3 linked regions of the Sus scrofa genome follow. The protein of the gene in region 1 purifies or fractionates together with the protein of each later gene. This does not show direct contact. Links are inferred from orthologs where the notes say so. Each region holds a gene or a part of one and is shown in the gene's direction. Other genes may lie near its edges. The genes, in order: ARHGEF7, GIT2 and PAK2.

Region 1 (4,120 bases):
GTGCTTGGCACAGAGCAAGTTCTCTGTAGGTGACTGCGAATGCTGTCTTAAATTGCCCCGGGCAGTCATAGCCCGCAAACAGGCAAAGTGCACACTGGGTCCCTCCAAGGAGAGACGCTCCCTTCCTTAGAAGATGGTGTGTGTCAGCCCTCCTCTGAAGAAGTTTTTTCGTGGCTTAGCAGTTGGGCGGCTGAGCTCTTCAGCTCTGGCCCATTCGGACGCAGCCAGGTCTCTGACTGAGACCTCTTGCTCAGGGCCAGTCCAGCCAGGTTGCTTGTTTGGACTGAGTGAGCTGTCCTCACCGTCCTTCCTCCGGGATCATCTGCCCAGATCCAGTTCAGGCTCTGCTGTGTTCCTGACCTTCCTCCCACAGTGTCTGAAACAGCGCCATCAAGTTAAAGCCGAGTGGCTCCAAGGCTTCCGGTCGGGGAGAGTGGGACCACCGCATCCCGGCCGGTGAGGTCACGCACGCGGACGGGCCTCCCAGCAGAGGGCACGCGTGACCCCGGCCGCGCCACGCTCCGGGGCGTCCCTGTCCCCAAGGATGGCAGCAGCCTCAGGAAAATCAGTTCCTCCCCGAATTAGGCCCATCTGGTCACAGATTTAATTATCGTTGTGTTCGGTAATTATTGGCTTGCAAGGTAGCTGAGAGAAGCAAACGTCTCGTTTTCAGCTCCCCCCGCCCCCAACCTCTTGGGGAAAAAAAAAAAAAAAAAACCTGGCAAAAATAACGTTCATGAATTAGAAGATAAAGGATTCCGGGGCTTCCGAGGAGGGAAGAGGCGGCGGAAGGGCCCGACGGCGAGAGGAGCCTGGCTGGGCTCTCGCCTCAGAGGGGGCTGCGCTGGGGACCCGCCGGGCGCCAACGGCTACGGGCGCGCGCGGCCCGGAGGGTAGGAGGCCCGGCGAGCCCTCCCCGGCCGGCGGGCTGTCGCCTCCTGGAGGTCACCGGGCCCTTGGGGCGGGGGCCCAGCACCCGGCGGCGCAGGTGGGGACGCGCGCGCACAGCCGGCCCGGGTGCGGAGGGCGCACGGCGGCGGGCCCGGGCGGGCGCGGGGGCGCGTGTGCGGCAGCCGGGTGCCGGCGCGGCCGGGGGTCGGGGGGCCGGGAGGCCGGGGGCCGGGGCGCGGGGCCGCTCCAGCGCGGCGTCTTTCTTCTCCTCGCAGTGATGTCATCGGCGGCAGCGGCTGGCAGCCGGGAGGCGGCGGCGGGGGCGGCGCCGGGCGGCCGCCGCAGGTTCATGTGCATCTAATGAAAAGGCACTTGACAGTCGGCCAGGACGCACGCGAGGGAGCGCGAGCCGGCCGGACCGCGGCGCCGCCCGAGCCAATCGCCGTCGCCGGCCTCTCCATGGGCGAGCAGGAGGAGGGGGCGGTGGGCGCAGCCGGCCGGGCCGCGGCCGCTCCGAGGTGAACCGCGCCGAGACGGGCTCGCGGCGCGGGGAGGCCGGGCGCGCCGCCGCTATGAATTCCGCCGAGCAGACCGTTACGTGGCTCATTACCTTGGGGGTGCTGGAGTCGCCCAAGAAAACCATCTCGGACCCGGAGGGCTTCCTGCAAGCGTCTCTGAAGGATGGGGTGGTCCTCTGCAGGCTGCTGGAGCGCCTGCTCCCCGGGACCATCGAGAAAGTGAGTGCCCCCCGGCCCGCGCCCCCGCGGCGGACAGGCCCGGGCGCTGGGAGGCCCGGCGGGAGGAGTCCGGGCGGTGGGAGCCCCGGGCGGTGGGAGGCCTCGCGCCCCACCTGGCCCCCGCCGCGGCCCGGGATGCGCGGAGACGCTCGGGCGCAGGGTCGCCGGCGCCGGCACCTGGTGGCCGCGCGGGCCGGGAGAGCGCCGGGCGCCGCGGAGCCCACGCGCCTCCTTTGTGCGCGGACCCGGGAACGCGGCCCGCGCGGGGGGCGCGCTGGCGGCGCGAGGACCCGGTGGCGGGATCCCGCTCGGGGCGCCATTGTGTGCGGTGGCCGCCGGGGAGGGGGCCGGGCCGGGTTCAAGGGGAACGGCCGGGGGGAGGCCCGGAGGGAAGGGGAGCGCTCCGCTCTGCCCCGCCCGGAGGAGGAGTCGCCCCTCTCCGCGACCCGAGCCGAAAACCAACCGCTCCAGCGCCGCGCACAGCTGCCTCGCAGGCTTTGTTTGAACAGCTTTTGTTGGTGGTACCGTGTGAGAGTTTCGCCCTCTGTTTAACTGACCGATTGCGGTGCGTTTTTAAAAGATGCATTTATCAATAGCCGAGGGTGGGCTGTGAAATGATTTGCTGCCCTCCCCGCGGAACAATTCCCCTGTCCCCAAGCCCAGATGGCAGGCGCAGGAAAGCCCCGGCGTTCTTCAAGTCTGGCATAAGATCCTAGATTTCATTTTCAGGTTCCTACCTGATTTTAAACAGAGCCCCTAGTCCTGGAGACGTCTCTTCTATTGCCTGGTGGTTTCCTCGGGGCTGGAGTGTGAACCTTGACCACAACTCTGCGAGGGATTCAAGTTTGCTTCCTCCGGCTCCGTTGACTAAGTAGGGGCGAGCGGGTAGAGCGGCGGATCCCTGTACTTCAAAAACACTGCAATTCTATCCTAATTTTTTTTTTTTGCCAATACATAATCTTAATATCAGCAGTTACTTAAATGGTTTAAATGTAGAAATTAAAGTGCAGACTAATGAGAAATACTATTTAACTTTGAAAAATGGAGTATATCGGCCCAGCAGCACAGTATTAATTTGCTAATAATAAAATGTTAATTAGGTGACTTTAAAAAGTAAAATGTTTAATCTTTTTAAGTTTGCTCATGTTCTGGCATGGCATTTTAAAGGTCAGAAAAGATTTTATGTGATATGAGTTGTGTATACATATGAGTTTTAGGTATTTTCTTACTTGCAACATATTTCGGAAAGCAGAATCTGCATTTTAGGATGAATAGCCCTGGTCTGTCTGTCCAGGAAATAAAAATGGTGCTTCTAAATGAAGCTGATGTCACAATAAAATTATGATTGAAGATAGGAATAAGGAGCAGGAGCTAACTTTGAAGGCACAGAATACTTGGTTGTTATCTGGATATCAGGACCTCTAGTAATAAAAGACAGATGTTGAAACGCATTGAAAATGCAGGCTAACTTTACCAAAATGGGCTTATGTAAAAAAAATGGTTCCATTCCAAGAGTGAAGCTTTGAGAAACTTCAGAGGCTATTTGACCAAAACCTGTCATTGTTGATGCATGTGTTATTTGGCATATTCGCTGCGTGCCTATTGATTGGCAGACCTCAATAATCACTTTCTTTTAAATTGTTGAACGGTTTTCTTAGAAAACCATAGCATTCCTTTCACCTCGGAAACAACAAAGAGAGGAGTGAATAACATGTTTAATGCGCAGAAGCCCAACGGAAACAACCCAACATGTCCTAAAACTGGTCATTTGGAAACTTCTTACAGTGCAGCCAACCTTTTACCCCCCCGCCCCACCCCCCGCCCCTGACTTGTTTGTCTCAGAGGGACAATCTCAATGAAAGTTCAATATCAAAGTAGCACATTCTCTGTGGTACAAAGGTAGGTTTGGGGAGTAAAATATTAGCCATTCTCTGCCTCTAAAAACCCCTGGGTTTTAGAAGTCTCACGAGCCCGTTCCATTTCCTCAGAAGAGTATTTATTTGAACTTTCTGATGTTTGTATATGCACAGCAGATAGCGTTTGCCAGAAAGCACACGCGGTGAACAGCTTTTGCTCGAATGTTGGAATGTTAGTCTGAGGATGTTTTTCCTTCAAAAGGAACATTTGGGAACCTCACTGAGTATTCCTGTGGACGCGAAAGGATCTGAACTTGACCTCAGTTTGCCACATCAACACACAGGAGACTGGTTATCGGGGTGCAGGCAGCCTGCAACTTAACCTTTGCAAATGCACAAAATTTAAAACAAACCCTCAGGCTGGGGAGAGCATAGCGCAGAATCGGGAGAAGGTTCGGGGTGGCGCAGGGCTCCCATGTGCCTTTTATTAAGAAAGCATGTCCTGGTAGGTCTTGTGCTCGATGTTGGCTTGTTCTGTCTTAGGGCCGGCAAGAGGCTGGAGGACTAAACGGGAAGTTCGTCTCGGTTCAGACGGTTCTGCTCATTTTAAAAAGCATTCTGTTGAGGTTCCCTGCT
Region 2 (3,648 bases), on another chromosome or scaffold:
AATGGCAGACAGAGTTGTACCTCACTGAATAATTTTGTTTCTGTCTTATTTCATGGCAAACATTTGATAACCATGATCAAATCTTAATAACTAGTTTTACCTTTAAAAAAAATGAATCTAGTTCATATCCTTCTGTGAGTTCAACTACCTGAAAATTCCCCTGAGATTTTTCACTATAGTAATACAGTATTTGTGTGAAACAGTCAGTGTTTTAAGTATTAACAGTCAAAACCTTTTTCCAATGGTCATGAATTTCGTTGGCTTTTGAAAATATTTGAATGGTACTTACCAAAATGATTTAGAAACGTTGTAACAGCTACCATTACGGAGTACTTCCTATATGCAAGGAATTTTGCTTGTTCTTTATATCCTCACTACCCTGGATTGTGTTGTTCCTCCAATTTGATCCATAATGAGGACTCTCAAAAAGAAATAACTTGCCTGAGATCATTGTGCAAGAAGTGGCAGAGTTGGGGTTCAAACCCTGGACTGCTTGTCTCCAGAGCCATCCCTCTTAACCACTACACTCTCTGACTCCTGATTTGTCTTTGATTGAAATCCCATAACTTTTCATTTTATGGCTAGAAAGGGTTTGAATAAACTGTTAAAAATGGTAAAGATGGTGTACATGCATTTTCGAGATTTTTGTGGACATTGAAGAATTTTTAAATATAACCCTTAAGCCAGGCAGCTTGAGCGGCAACTATTGTCACTCCATTGTGAGTCTGATGAAATGTAGAAGGTCTGTCTTTATTTTGAATTTCTAAGTGTCTAGTTTACTTCCCCAGTGTGAATTATTCATACTGCTTACCAAGTGTGAATTATTCCTTGTTTCAAAGGATGTCTAATGAAGCTCTGTAGGACTTCATAGGAAAAAAGTATTATATGCACACCAAAAGTATTACTCTAGGGAGGTCCCTGGTGGCTCAGCAAGTTAAAGATCTGGCATTTTCACTGCTATGGTGTGGGTTCTATCCCTGGCCTGGGAACATTTGCATGCCTTGAGCGAGGCCAGAAAAAAAAATCACTCATTTGTATTTTACATCTTTGCCTCTGTGAGGCTGCTGTTTTTACAACTTCTGTTACTTCAGATCAGCTGTGAGATCGGACTCAGTAGTTTATTTACAACTACTAATGGATATCATAGCACATTTCTTACGGAGGAGTCTAGGTTTCTTAGTCTGTCTTCAGAACCACAGCAGTTGAACAGTTTTATAGTCATGTATGCTTGCAGCTTTCTGCTAAGCCCAGAGGCAGGTAGATATGTAGCATGTGTTAGGGTAGCCATCTTTTTACTGCTCTCTTCACATGTCGCTCTGCGGATTGTCACTGACACAGGTATGTTATCTTGCCATTTGTGGAGATGGATTCAAAATGATTCATGTGAATGCTCTCAACTTGCTTCTTTTACACTGAATGAAAGAGCACACATCTGTGATGATAGATCATATTAGGGTGTCAGATTGTGGCCTTGAACCAGAGAGGAGAGAAGTGCTTATTTAGGGCTGTAATCAGGTTTTCAGTCTCAGTAGATTTGTGCCCCCAGCCAAGGCAGGGGTTATCTTCAGACAGGCTCACCAGCTTGATATGCTGACTAGCATACTAAAACAACAAAGATGTCCTGTTTTTCTGAAAAACCAAATCTCAGTCATCTTTTGCCATCTGGCGGTATAGCAACCACTTGGTATCCTTGCCACTGATTTCATTCTTCTTTCCAGATCCTTCCTGGGCATCAGTAAATAGGGGAACTTTTATATGTGACGAGTGCTGCAGTGTCCATCGGAGTCTAGGGCGCCATATCTCTCAAGTAAGGCATCTCAAACACACACCATGGCCTCCAACATTGCTTCAGGTAAAGAATAAGAATTCTTCTCATGTTTGTAATTTACATCTTTAGGGCTCAATGTTTTAGCAACTAAAATTATACTTCTAAATCATAATTGAATAGAAGTGCCATGCTTATCAATGCTATATACAAGTATTAAATTCATCATTTAAGATTCTTTTTCCCCTCCTAATGTAAATCTTGTCCCAAAAACTCAGTTACAGGCAGTCATTAAAATTTCTTGCTTATGTTTCATTGCTGACTTTCTAAAATGTCACCAGAAGTTGTTTTTAAAGCCCATCTTTTCCACGTACCATGATCAATGTTTCTTAAAGTGACTGCCCTTTGAAACTTTTCATTGTTTCCTGCTTTGATGGAAGCATGGACTGGGATTCCTCAGAAATTTCTGAAACATCTGATTTAGGTTTTCTTAAAGTTCTTATAACTAGTTAGAGACAATTAAGTTATGTCTGGATTGAATGTCTAACACCCTGCTAAGTGTTAAGTGGGCTCTTTGTTTTATTTGGGGGTCCATTGTCATGTCACCTGTACTTCTATTTTGGGGTACACATTCTTCAAGTTCTGTTGGAACTCAGACTTAAGCATGTGTTTCGCCTTCATTTGTCTTGAGGACATATTTTACTGAATCTGTGGCAGCTGCACAACACATCCCTTAAACTTCCCTATATGAACCAAAGGATCGGAGCAAGTGAGCTTGGATCTCTGATGTGACAGATATCTCCGCTAATGTAAAAAACGAGGAGTAATGTCAGGAGTCATGCTTTGAATTGAAACTGGGCGATACGGCTTATTAATAACTTTTGCTAAGAAGTTTCTAACAGCTCATTCTCATGTGAAAATGGATGTTTACTGCTCCCAGATTATACAGAGTACAGATTATATTATAGATCTGAATAAAATCCAGAAATGAGTAGTTTAAAATGCCAGAGTTGGAGCTCCTGCTGTGGTGCATTGGAATAGGCAGCAGCTTGGGACTGCTGGGACTCAGGTCCAAGCCCGGCACAGTGGGTTAAGGAACTGGCATTGCCACAGCTGCAGCTTAGTTTGCTGCTGTGGGTTAGATCTGATCCCTGGCCTGGGAGCTCCCTATGTCAAGGGGAGGCCAAAAAAAAAAAAAAAAAAAAAGCCAGAGTTGACCCTAAAGCAGTTCCCAGAAGGTGGCATGTGAACACCAGTGTTACTCAAGTTAGATGTAGGTAATACTCAAATATGTATTTTAATGGTTGCATAAAACTATAACTAGCACATCAAAGTATAATTGCTAGGGAAAGTTTTAGAAAGTAAGTGGGTTTAAAGAAAAATAATAAGTGGATAGTCTAGATGGTACCTAGGTTTTTAAGTAGCTTGAAAACAGTATTTGAGTGCTCAGGCTTGGGAAATACTGCCCTAATATGTCAAAGTACTCTTTTTTCATCATCTATGAGAAAACATAATCAAACCTCTATAAGTATTTAGCTGTCCTACTGGTCAAACCTGAATCCTGCATACAGGTTCATCTTTCTCATTCTAAATTCAGAAAATACTAATGTGCGTGATATCCCAGTCATGCTGTTGTTTGTAATGGGGCTTTGTGTTTCTAGTTTAGTTATTCATTTCCACTGGATATTTGTGAAAAGAAATTAAAATAAGATTTTATACTGCTTGGTTTTAGATGGTTGAAACCTTATATAATAACGGTGCTAATTCTATATGGGAGCATTCTTTGCTGGACCCTGCCTCTATTTTGAGTGGAAGACGCAAAGCTAATCCACAGGATAAAGTACAGTGAGTGGAATGTTTATAAATACTCTATTTCTTTGTAA
Region 3 (3,648 bases), on another chromosome or scaffold:
ATTTCTATATATAAACATGAATACAAAGAACTTGCCAACAGGCTCAGTGGAAATGAATCTGACTAGTATCCATGAGGACGAAGGTTTGATCCCTGGTCTCACTCAGTGGGTTAAGGATCTGGCATTGCCATGAGCTATGGTATAGGTCGCAGACGCAGGTGAGATCCCACTTGGCTGTGGCTGTGGCTGTGGCTGGCAGCTGTAGCTCTGATTTGACCCCTAGCCTGGGAACCTCCATATGCCGTGGGTGCGGCCTAAAAAGAAAAAAAAAGAACTTGCCAACATTCTCCTGTAGCATCATCCTACTGAATATAGACTATGGAAATATACTGAATAATGGAAGCCTGTTAAAATCTTCAGAGTTGTCTGAAATTTTAAGTTATCATGTAAGCACAAATACTTCCTGCAAACAGTTGTTTTATTTTCCATTCCTTAATTTGGAGGAAACAATCTCCTGGAGTTATTTGACTGCATATAATATCACGTAAAATACCTACCTAGCGCACACCTGTCATATAATAAACTCTGTATAAAGGATGATGCCTTGGAGTTCCTGCTCTGGTGCAGTGGGTTAAGGATCTGGTGTTGCCACAGCTGTGGGGGGCAGCCAAAAAACTTAAAAAAGGATAATGCCTTTCTCTTTTCCTTCTTTAGCCACAACTTTGTTGGTGAATCTGGCTGGTTTTTGTTTTGGCTGCACTTGTGGCATGTGGAAGTTCATGAGCCAGGAGTTGAACCTGCTCTGCAGAAGTGACAATGCTGGATCCTTAACCATTAGGCCACCAGGGAACTCTAGTCTGGCTGTTTTAAATAACTGAGAATGACTCTAACTTATACAGAGCCCAGAAGATTTTTGGTTTTGGACTTAAAAAATAAAGTGATTGTTTATTTTTGAACTAGTTAAAAGGCATGAATTCTCTCTTAATAATACTGGTATTAGGGAGTTCTTGGCGTGGCTCAGTGGCAACGAACCCAACTAGTATCCATGAGGACGCAGGTTTGATCCGTGGCCTCACTCAGTGCGTTAAGGATCTGGTGTTGCCATGAACTGTGGTGTAAGTCACAGATGCTGCTCAGATCCTACATAGCTGTGGTGTAGACAGGCAGCTACAGCTCCAATTCAGCCCCCAGCCTGAGAACTTCCATAGACCTCATGTATGGCCTTAGAAAACAAAACAAAACAAAAAAAACCTGTTATTGGGGAGTTCCCATTGTGGAATATCAGAAATGAATCTGACTAGTATCCATGAGGGTGTGGGTTCTGTCCCTGACCTTGCTTAATGGATCAGGGATCAGGTATTGCCGTGAGCTGTGGTGCAGGTCACAGATGAGGCTCGGATCCTGGATCCCACGTTGCTATGACTGTGGTGTCGGCTGTTAGCTGTAGCTCCAATTCGATGCCTAGCCTGGGAACTTCCATATGCTATGAGTGTGGCCCTAAAAAGCAAAAGAAAAAAGAAAAAAAGAATACTGGTATTTACTGTATATATCTGCTTTATAAACTTACTTTTCTATAATGTATACAATTGCCTTTACTTTTTAAAATGATTATAAGATTAGTACTGGTGAGGTTCTATTGTTTTGAAGTGAGCTATTAAATAGTTTTTTCAGGTATGTTAAAAAGGAGAGGTAGTCATATTCTAAAGTATCCTAATACTTGACTTGTCCTCCTTCCTTTGCTCATGTGATAAATGCAGCTGCATACCAAGGGATCGGAAACGTCAGCAGTAGTAACAGAGGAAGACGATGATGATGAAGAGACTGCTCCTCCTGTTATTGCCCCACGACCAGATCATACAAAATCAGTGAGTTTCTGATTAGTGAATTAGATTGTGCGTGTCCGTACCTGTATGTTTTTAACAACAGCTGTCTGTATTCGAATTCCAGTGATTAATTTCTAAGAAGTCTTCAGACTTAAAATATTTCAGTATGAGAAATTTACCTAAACACTAGTCATCAAAAAACTAGTTTTCTTTAAAAGTTAAAATAGGAGTTCCTGTTATGGCTCAGCAGAAATGAATCCAGTCCGACCAGGAACCATGAGGTTGCAGGTTTGATCCCTGGCCTCGCCCAGGGTGGTAAGGATCCTGCATTGCAGTGAGCTATGGTGTAGGTTGCAAATGCGGCTCAGCTCTGATGTGGCTATGACTGTGGCGTAGACCGGCAGCTGTAACTCTGATTGGACCCCTAGTCTGGGAACTTCCATATGGCCTGGGTGTGGCCCTAAAAAGCAAAAAAAAGAAAAAGTTAAAATACTTCTCTCATTGTTTTTTCTTTCTCTATTACACCATCTTTTCGAGGGAGTTCATCTATTTCTCTACCTTTATCTCAGTACAGATAAGTACTGTATCTAAAACTTGGAGCTTACCTTTTATCCAAATTATATATTTGATCTCCCATTTTACATTTTTCTCAAAGCCTTCACAAGGCTGCTCAATGAAATTTCTAACAGCTACGGGAGAATTTTAACAATAACAACCTTAGATAGAGACAGAAAGAGTCTGCCTTGTTCTGATACAAATAAAAGCAGCAGAGTATGGTGAGGTGTTGGCACAATAGACAAGTAGGGCTCGGAGGACTGCCATTGGACCCTCATCTAGTGATAGAGAGCTGTGTTTTCTTTACTACTTAGAAATGGCTGTTTGAAATAAAATGGTGGAAATTATATTTATATAAAAAGTTTTATGGAAATTAATGATAGTTCAACATCAAGATTTCCATTATTTTGCTCTGTATTTCTCTCTTTTATTTTATTTTATTTTGTCTATTTTTTGGCATTTCTTGGGCTGCTCTCGCAGCATATGGAGGTTCCCAGGCTAGGGGTCCAATCGGAGTTGTAGCCACGGCCTACACCACAGCCACAGCAACTCGGGATCCGAGCCTTGTCTGCAACCTACACCACAGCTCACGGCAACGCCGGATCCTTAACCCACTGAGCAAGGCCAGGGATCAAACCCGAAACCTCATGATTCCTAGTTGGATTCGTTAACCACTGAGCCACGATAGGAACTCCTGTATTTCTCTCTTTTAGAAAAAACATTTTCAAACTTGTACTATGTTTTTTGCTTCTTTTTTATTATGTTATTTTAGATCTGATTGTACTTAGATTTATTTCGTTCACAGATCATCTGCTTTGCTACAGAGACTTTTAAAATACATAAGTGGAGGAGTTCCCATTGTGGCTCAGTGGTAATGAACCCGACTACTATCCAGGAGGATGTGGGTTCAATCTCTGACCCTGCTCAGTGGGTTAAAGATCCAGCATTGCTGTGGCTGTGGTGTAGGCCGGCAGCTGCAGCTCTAATTTGACCCCTAGCCTGGGAACTTCCATATGCCACAGGTGCAGCCCTAAAAAGAAAAAAAGAAAGAAAAAATACTTATGTGATGTACCAAAGAAAAATGTTTCACGTTTATTCCTCTTAGCTCCCAGTCTTTTATAAGACAAATCTGAAAATCTTATTCTCATTCTTTTGAACACAAGAGACAGATTACTTTGTTGTTGGCAAAAATCAAAGAACTAAATAGTGTGCCAGTAAGAATAACTAAAAATACTGTTCTTCAACTCTAATTAATTCTTTCTCTCTGCAGATTTATACACGGTCTGTAATTGATCCTATTCCTGCTCCAGTTGGTGATTCTAATGTTGAT

Evidence for each region.
Region 2: the proteins of ARHGEF7 (region 1) and GIT2 purify together in Homo sapiens (affinity purification with mass spectrometry; 6 studies listed by BioGRID and IntAct, counting the BioPlex papers as one, with this or other methods). This does not show direct contact. The link is inferred for Sus scrofa from reciprocal best matches to the Homo sapiens genes ARHGEF7 and GIT2.
Region 3: the proteins of ARHGEF7 (region 1) and PAK2 purify together in Homo sapiens (co-immunoprecipitation; 5 studies listed by BioGRID and IntAct, with this or other methods). This does not show direct contact. The link is inferred for Sus scrofa from reciprocal best matches to the Homo sapiens genes ARHGEF7 and PAK2.

Annotation. Positions count from the first base shown.
Region 1 is NC_010453.5:77,426,113-77,430,232, forward strand, and holds the start of ARHGEF7 (rho guanine nucleotide exchange factor 7), read left to right. Parts: upstream 1-1,239; 5' UTR 1,240-1,463; coding exon 1,464-1,628; intron 1,629-4,120. UniProt on the Homo sapiens protein: Acts as a RAC1 guanine nucleotide exchange factor (GEF) and can induce membrane ruffling. Functions in cell migration, attachment and cell spreading. Promotes targeting of RAC1 to focal adhesions. May function as a positive regulator of apoptosis.
Region 2 is NC_010456.5:40,998,842-41,002,489, forward strand, and holds part of GIT2 (ARF GTPase-activating protein GIT2), read left to right. Parts: intron 1-1,718; coding exon 1,719-1,852; intron 1,853-3,497; coding exon 3,498-3,610; intron 3,611-3,648. UniProt on the Homo sapiens protein: GTPase-activating protein for ADP ribosylation factor family members, including ARF1.
Region 3 is NC_010455.5:133,310,394-133,314,041, reverse strand, and holds part of PAK2 (serine/threonine-protein kinase PAK 2), read left to right. Parts: intron 1-1,697; coding exon 1,698-1,805; intron 1,806-3,588; coding exon 3,589-3,648. UniProt on the Homo sapiens protein: Serine/threonine protein kinase that plays a role in a variety of different signaling pathways including cytoskeleton regulation, cell motility, cell cycle progression, apoptosis or proliferation.